Linked DNA regions of Sus scrofa. The protein of the gene in region 1 purifies or fractionates together with the protein of each later gene. This does not show direct contact. Links are inferred from orthologs where the notes say so. Each region holds a gene or a part of one and is shown on either strand. Other genes may lie near its edges. The genes, in order: TAP1 and TAPBP.

Region 1 (3,663 bases):
TCCTTTCAGAGTGCCCAGTGAGCATGGTCTTCTTACTCGCAGCTCCCTGCCCTCCCCTGTGCCACCTTCTTGCTCACCTGTCTGTGCAGGTAGCGGTGCTCATATTCAGGAAGGGGCTTCTCACCCAGCAGCACCTGCCCCTCCGTGGGCTGGTACAGGTTCTGCAGCAGGGCAGCCACGGTGCTCTTCCCAGACCCATTGGGCCCCACGAGGGCGGTCACCTCACCAGGACGTAGAGTGAACGTGAGGCCCTGGAGGCCAGAGAATCACACACTAAGAGGCAGATCAAGGCCCCTAACCTTAAGAGCGTCATGGACTTGGCCCATTGTTTTGTCAGTGTCTCACCCCAGAGAAGAAAAGAGGAAAGTGGAGAAACACAGCAACTCCTACCCTCCCACATGCACAGACTTCTGCTCCTCAGCGATGCCACCTCCCCGTGGACTAGAGATGGAAGAAGAGACAAAGACCAGGGCAAAGACCATGCCGCACACTCAATCTCAGAGACCAGGAGAAAAAAAGAAAAAAAAAATCACATTTGAAATCACAAATGGAAAGAAAAAGGAGGAGTTCCTGTTGTGGCTCAGGAGGTTAAGACCCTGACATAGTGTCCGTGAGGATACAGGTTCAATCCTTGGCTTCGCCCAGTGGGTTAAGGATCTGGTGTGGCTGCAGCTGCCCCGTTCAGTCACAGAAGTGGCTCAGAGCCGGTGTTGCTGTGGCTGTGATGCAGGCGTTCAGCTCCTGGCCCAGTGTGACCATTAAAAAAAGGAAGAAAAAAGGCAAGAAAAAGGAAAGATGGAAGACCAGATGGATACACAGATTTTGCAGCAGTTCCTTAGGATATGACAGCCTTCTCCCTGAAAGCCTCCTTTCCTGTCCTCCCTGGAAATCCAAACTAGGTCTTGAGTTTGGGGCAATTTTATGGAACAGATGATGCTCATCTTTGCCTCTGAAGGGTAAAGAAGGATCTAGCTACACCTGATGTTAAGCAGACTGAAGGCAGGAAGACGATTCAGATCGAGCTGAGAGGAAGATTGGTGGAGTGCAGGGGTTGGTGGGTTGTACCTGCAGCACTGGGACCTCTGGTCGGTTCGGGTAGGCAAAGGAGACATTCTGGAACTTGACAAGCCCCTCTGACTTTAAGGAAGTCAACGATCCACTGGCCGGGCAGCGAGGGATTCGGTCCAGATACTCAAATATTTCCTTTGAGGAGCCCACAGCCTTCTGTACCCTGGGGTAGGTGGACAGCAGTACCTGGAGGGGAGGTATGAATAGTGAGATGGGAGGAGGTAGTGGGGGAGGGACCTAATCTGCCTGCCAGGATTATGTGATGTGAGAAGGGCAAAGCATGGAAGGAAGGTGACTCAGATGGTGATGGGACAGGGGAGGGAAAAGCCCTGGGATGTGAGAATGGAAGGACCTCACCTGAACAGCTTCGGTGAACTGGATCTGGTAGAGAACAAATGTGACGAGGTTTCCGCTGCTTATAGCCCCACCTGCCACCAGCTTCCCGCCAACATACAGGATTCCCACCTTCAGCAACATCCCTGAGATCTGTGGAGAGACCACACAGAAAAGGGACTTTTGTAGAAAAATCTAGAGGGGCTGCAGAGAAGCAGAATCATTAGCATTAAGGAGATAAGAAGTTCTTGGAGTTCCCGTCGTGGCTCAGTGGTTAACGAATCCAACTAGGAACCAGGAGGTTGCGGGTTCGATCTCTGGCCTCGCTCAGTGGGTTAAGGATCGGGTGTTGCCATGAGCTGTGGTGTAGGTCAAAGATGTGGCTCGGATCTAGTGTTGCTGTGGCTGTAGCTCTAGGGTAGGCTGGCAGCCGTAGCTCCGACTGGACCCCTTGCCAGGGAAACTCCAAATGCCTCAGGTACAGCCCTAAAAAGCAAAAACAAACAAATAAACAAAAAAAAGGAATGAACCATAGCAATGCCACGGAGTCTCACTCAGTTATACAGAAAAGAAGCCAATCGTTATTACCATCACCATTATCACCTTGTCTGGGAAGCATTTACTCTGCACAAAAGGCTTTCATGAATGTAATGTCATCTAATAGTCGCATCAAAAGCCCCATAAACAAGGTTAGGTCACTGCCATTTTTAAAACTGAGAAAACAGTCTCAGAGAAGTGAAGTCACCAGCCCCTGGTCACAGAGCCGGAAAATGGCAGCATCGTGATAGGAACTTGATGGCTGGTCGTGTTCGCTTTCGGTTACATCACAGGTGCCCCTCATCCTTGCTTCTGCTACTCCCAGGACTCTCACTAGCATCCATGTAGTGTCAGCATGAAACGGGACAGGGTGCCAGAATTTATAGTCCTCTGAGCACCCCCTTGAGGCAAAAGAAGGCCTTGGAAAACACTTCCCTAAAGAGAGGGTTGGGTGGATTTTTGTGTACCGTAGTGAAAGGAAGCCATCTAGCACGCCTAAAAAGGGGGGAGGGGGTTAGGAACAGTGAGTAGGGTGACTGAGCCTCCGGTTGTTAGAATATGGCCACTGAACCAACCACTGGGCAGTGGAGGAAGAGTGTGGAGCAGGGTCATGGGAAAGGGAATGGCATTGAGGCATCTTGGGGACAAGGGACTAGGCAGTCATCTGCAGGTGCTCACACTGGTGGTCCAGAGGTCGACCGCATAGGCCAGGGCCTCCTTCTGGTTGAGTGTCTTCATGTCCTGCAGCTTTTGCTTGAACTTCTGGGCCTCACCCTCTTCATTGGCAAAGCTCCGGACAGTAGGCATAGCTGACAGAACCTCAATGGCCACCTGGCTTGACTTTGCCAGAGATTCCTGCACCTGTGCTGCCAGCACCTGTGGAGACGTGGACCAGAGATGCCACACATGATTGTTGACAAACCATAGGGGACACTAGTACCTGAGTTATCCGATTAGAGTTTAAAGGTGAGACGTGGCAGAGGGAAGGCAAGGGGACAAAGGGACACAGCCAGGCCCCCAGATACTAAAGGATACAGAGAAGAGGAAAATGACTTAGAAGCGTCGTAGGGGAGCATATTCTTGAGATGGGTGATCATGTTCTTAAAGACAGATTGTGGGCAGGCATTAGAAGAGAAGACACAAGGGATGTGAAGATCAACACTGAGCAATCTGGGAACATGGACGACAGGGACAAGGAGTCCCACAAAGAGGAGAACCAGTGAAGGTGCCAGGAAAGGGATCTGAGCCCACCAAGTCTGGGATGAGGGTCAGTGTAGGTTGAGGCAACTCCCTAGACATACCTGGTGCCATTTCCCCAGCTTCTCAGGCAGAAGGAAAAGCAGTGGCAAGGCGGCCAGGGTGACCATGGTGAGGGGAGGTGACCCCCAGAGCATGAGCCCTAAGAGACACAGTCCCCGTGCGAGGTACCACAGCAAGAGGCTCAGCTCCGAACTCAGAGACACACTCACAGTGGATGTGTCCTCTGTTACCCGAGATGTGATGGCACCTGCCAAGGGTTCAAGAGAAGAGAGTGGAGTGAACAGGAGGCTCAGAGTGATGGGAGCGACGAGCAATGAGCCAGGTGCCACAGCGAAGGGCATCAACACAGTGTTCTAAGAAGGTCAGGAAAAGGAGTTCCCGTCGCGGCGCAGTGGTTAACGAATCCGACTAGGAACCATGAGGTTGCGGGTTCGATCCCTGCCCTTGCTCAGTGGGTTAACGATC
Region 2 (4,604 bases), about 4.6 Mb from region 1:
CCTCCGAGAGGGCCGGGCTTCAGCCACCACCACCACCGTCACTACTGCTGCAGCAACATCCGTCACTGTCCCTGGTGCAGGGGTCCCCCCCGGGAGTGGGGGCAGTGTAGCCCCTGCTGCTGTGGGCTCCGTGCGCTCTCATGCCTCCAGCCGGGCCAGTGAGAATCAGTCCCCCAGCAGCAGCAACTACTTCAGCCCCCGGGAGTCCACTGATTTCTCCTCTTCATCCCAAGAGGCTTTTGCGGCTTCTGCAGTGGGCAGCGGGGAGCGTCGAGGTGGTGGCCCTGTGTTCCCAGCCCCGGTGGTTGGCAGTGGAGGGGCTACCTCTGGGAAGCTGCTGCTGGAGGCAGATGAGCTGTGTGATGATGGCGGGGATGGGAGGGGGGCGGTGGTCCCTGGGGCTGGGCTCCGGCGGCCGGTCTATGCACCCCCCAGCATCGTACCACAGAAACACTGGGTGTACGTGAAGCGGGGTGGAACCTGCCCCGCACCAGCACCCCTGGCTCCCCAAGACCCAGACCTGGAGGAAGATGAGGAGGAGGAAGACTTGGTGTTGACCTGTGAGGATGATGAAGATGAAGAGCTGGGGGGTGGCTCCCATGTTCCACCAGGGGGAGAACCTGAGACGACCCTTAGCATTAGTGATGTCCGGACCCTGTCTGAGCCTCCAGACAAGGGAGAGGAGCAGGTCAATTTCTGTGAGTCCTCCAATGACTTTGGCCCCTATGAGAGTGGGGGTCCCGGAGGGGGGCTTGAGGATTCAGGGGGACCAACCCCTTCCTCCTATGCTCCCTCCCACCCTCCTAGGCCCCTGCTTCCGCTGGACATGCAGGGCAACCAGATCCTAGTCTTCCCATCCTCTTCATCCACCTCCTCCTCCTCCTCACAGGCTCCAGGCCAGCCACCAGGGAACCAAACTGAACACGGGGCTGTGACGCTGGGGGGCGCGTCAGCAGGGGCCCTGGGCATGCCGGGTGGCACTGGTGGGACCCCTGGAGGAACAGGCAGTGGGGATGGAAATAAGATCTTTCTGTGCCACTGCGGGAAGGCCTTCTCCCATAAGAGCATGCGCGATCGGCACGTGAACATGCACCTGAACCTGCGGCCCTTTGACTGCCCCGTGTGCAACAAGAAGTTCAAGATGAAGCATCACCTGACGGAGCACATGAAGACTCACACAGGCCTCAAGCCCTACGAGTGCGGCGTCTGCGCCAAGAAGTTCATGTGGCGAGACAGCTTCATGCGCCACCGGGGACACTGTGAGCGCCGGCACCGCCTAGGTGGGGGCGGGGCCGGGGCCGGGGCTGGGGCGGGACCCGGGGGGCCCACCGGGCCAGCCGTGCAACCCAAGAGAGAGTCTCCAGGCCGGGGCAGCGGCGACGAGGCGAGTGGGACCACGCCCCCGCCCAGCCGACGGGTCTGGTCCCCGCCCAGTGTCCATAAGGTGGAAATGGGCTTCGGTGGGGGCGGAGGAGCAAACTGAAGAGGCGGGCTACTGGGGGTAGCCTGCGAAGGAGGGAAGAGGAACGGGAGCCAGGGGCCCTGTGGCTCTTACGTGGTGTCCCCACACACCTACTGTCTTCCTATCTCAATAGACTTGTACATATTCTGGAGTTGGGACCGCGTTGCACCACGGATCACCCCTTTCCACTCTGCAGCCCCTCCTCCCCAAAGTATCCCCAAACCCAGCCCTTCGTCCCCCTCAGATGGGTACACTGAAGCCCCAGCCCCAGAGTAGAATAGGGCGCACTCGGTGGGGAGTGGGGAGGGAGAGGGGGCTAGTGGAGCATCCTGGAGTCGCTGGGTCAAGGGTCAGGTGGTTGTAGTCTGTACCTGAAGTCTGTGTTTGTGTTGTTGTGGGGACCAGGTCTTTGAGCCCCACCCTTGTCCTGGAACATACCCTGTCCCTCAAAGGATGTGCCCCTTATTTCCACCCTAACCTCTCCTCCCCCACCTTGGCGTCCCCCACCTTGATTCTCACTGGGGAGGGGGGAGTGAAGACAAGGAGGGAGTAAGTTGTAGGAGTTTTTATTTTAAATCTTATTTTTTTTAAATGGTGATTAAAATATTTATTGGTCATTTCACTTGGCTTCCCGACACCCCCTATGTGTTTGCTGGGGACTTGGCACAGGTGGGGGATGGTGGAGGGATGGTTCTCAGGGAAGGGGATTCTGGCGGAGAGGAAGGGGGAGCCCAGAGGGCGGGAGGGCTCCGGACTTTGTGGTGTTGGGTGGTCCAGGAGGGCGGGGGGGGGGAGTGGGTGCGACTGAGGTCCCCAGACCAGAACTGGAGAGGAGGTTCCGGTGCAGCCTGCGGGGAAGCACCTGCCTCCCCCGCCTTCACCTAACCCGAGCGGGGATTTCCTCCGTCCCACCTGCGGCCTTTGGAGGAAAGTGAAAGTGAAAGGGGGAAGAGGAGGCTGCGGAGCTGAGAGGATCGCGACGCCATGAAGCCTCTGTCTCTGCTCCTCTCTGTAGTAGCTTTGGGTGAGCTAACCCCGCGACTCTCTGCTCAGAGAAGCGGTGGGAGGTGACCCCGCCACGGCAGGGGTGGGGGGTAGGGGGTGGGGAGAGGTCAGACCACCTGATATTGGGGCCAACACCTCACCCGCACCCTTCCACCCCAGGCTTGGCGTCCACCGTCTCGGCGGGTCCCGCGGTGATCGAGTGCTGGTTCGTGGAGGATGCGGGCCGGGGCCAGCTGTCCAAGAAACCCGCTGCCCTGCTGCTGCGCCAGGGCCCCGGGAGCCCACCTCCTCGGCCGGACCTCGAGCCAGAGCTCTACCTCAAAGTGCACGGTGAGCCTTCCCCGACTCGCTCCCAATTCCGTCGCCTCCACCGAAAGCCTCTCCTCTTTGGGTCTTGTAGTGTCCGCGGGCCTGTTTCCTCCTCCGTAAAATGAAGCTGGAATACCTGTGAATCGCTCACTACCGGGTGGTTTGCCGGTTTGAAATCCCGCCTTCCTGCCCCTTTGCTGGCGGCGACTCTACAGTTACACCTCCCTTCTCTGCTCTCACAGACCCTGCGGGAGCCCTCCTAGCCGCCTTCAGGCAGTACCCCCGGGACGCCCCCGCGCCACGCTGCGAGATGAGCCACTATATCCCGCTCCCCGCCTCGCCCGACTGGGTCAGCGGCTTGACTCCGGAGCAGAGGTGCCCGCGGGCCCTGGACGGGAAGTGGCTAATGGTCAGTATGTCCAGCCCGGTACTCAGCCTTTCCAGCTTCCTTCAGCCGCAGTCTGAGCCTCAGCTGGAGCCTGCTCTCATCACCATGGCAACAGGTAGCTAAGGAGGGGAAGTGGAAATAAATGGGTACATTCTAAGGGTCCAGAAAAGCCGGTTCCCCAGTGGGGTCTCAGTTTCCTTATTTGTAGATCCAGGCAGTTCAGCTAAAATTTAGCTATACCTACTGCTGCCTCTAGGCCCAGCCCAGTTTTTTTAAAGACTTGCGGCTTGGGGCGGGGCTTCGCAGTATTCCGGGGGCGGGGCTTTGGGGGGGTGGGGCGATGGGTCTTGGAGTGTCTCGGGAGAAGGAATTTTTCTCCTTTCCCGCCTAGATCTTGCTAGGTGCCCCCTCCTTTGCGGTTCGCTTAGTTTAGACATCCTTGGCAGATAGCTAAGCACGGGCTCTTGAGCACAAGCTTCTTGACCTCCCCGACAGCTCCTTGTGAGGACGTGTTGACCCTGTGGTCACCAAATAGTGGGCTTGAGTGCATGGAAGAGAGGAGGCGGGAGAGCAGATGGTTCCAGCTGCAAGGACCACTTATTGCATCATGCTACGCAATTTGGGGTCCAGGGGTCAGGGTTGGGCGCAGAGAGGGAGTGGGTGGAAAATGCAAGAGTAGGGAAGATCTGACCTGTCCAGGACTTGGAATTTCTAGGAACTATTCTGTGGACGGTGGGCAGGATATAAACAGAGTCCTTGGCTTCCTTCAGGCTTAAGCAATTTTGTGGAAACAATACAACTTGACCAGCCTGGGTTGGTCAAGCCCAGCTGAACCCTACACCCTCCATTTGCCAGGAGTCCCTACACCCACAGGGCTCAGTGCCCACCCTGCAACCCTGACCTGCACCTACACCTCCATTCTCAGTCCCCAGACGTGGACAGGGGCAGAGGCGAGCCGCTTATTCTGGCAACAGTATTCCGAGTAGGTAGGAATATTTCTCAGGCTGTTGGCTTCCCAAGGTGGGGGTGAGAGAATGTCCTTTTCTCTCTGAGTCTGCTTTTCCAGCTCTAAAATGTGGTTGGTATTTCCCATCTCCCTTTCCGTTGTTGTGACGATTAAGGGAGACACTTTGTTAATTTATTTACTGATTAAATAAATATTTATTAGCACCAAGAATAAATTAGCGGAGTTCCCGTCGTGGCGCAGTGGTTAACGAATCCGACTAGGAACCATGAGGTTGCGGGTTCGGTCCCTGCCCTTGCTCAGTGGGTTAATGATCTGGCGTTGCCGTGAGCTGTGGTGTAGGTTGCAGACGCGGCTCGGATCCCGCGTTGCTGTGGCTCTGGCGTATGCCGGTGGCTACAGCTCCGATTCAACCCCTAGCCTGGGAACCTCCATATGCCGCGGGAGCGGCCCAAGAAATAGCAACAACAACAACA

Evidence for each region.
Region 2: the proteins of TAP1 (region 1) and TAPBP purify together in Homo sapiens (co-immunoprecipitation; 6 studies listed by BioGRID and IntAct, with this or other methods). This does not show direct contact. The link is inferred for Sus scrofa from reciprocal best matches to the Homo sapiens genes TAP1 and TAPBP.

The regions. Positions count from the first base shown.
Region 1 is NC_010449.5:25,065,358-25,069,020, forward strand, and holds part of TAP1 (antigen peptide transporter 1), read right to left. Parts: intron 3,446-3,663; coding exon 3,240-3,445; intron 2,815-3,239; coding exon 2,617-2,814; intron 1,555-2,616; coding exon 1,426-1,554; intron 1,255-1,425; coding exon 1,066-1,254; intron 252-1,065; coding exon 78-251; intron 1-77. UniProt on the Homo sapiens protein: ABC transporter associated with antigen processing. In complex with TAP2 mediates unidirectional translocation of peptide antigens from cytosol to endoplasmic reticulum (ER) for loading onto MHC class I (MHCI) molecules.
Region 2 is NC_010449.5:29,670,485-29,675,088, reverse strand, and holds the start of TAPBP (tapasin), read left to right. Parts: upstream 1-1,635; 5' UTR 1,636-2,446; coding exon 2,447-2,486; intron 2,487-2,626; coding exon 2,627-2,797; intron 2,798-3,018; coding exon 3,019-3,279; intron 3,280-4,604. Other genes in the region: ZBTB22 (zinc finger and BTB domain-containing protein 22), read left to right, coding at 1-1,483. UniProt on the Homo sapiens protein: Involved in the association of MHC class I with transporter associated with antigen processing (TAP) and in the assembly of MHC class I with peptide (peptide loading).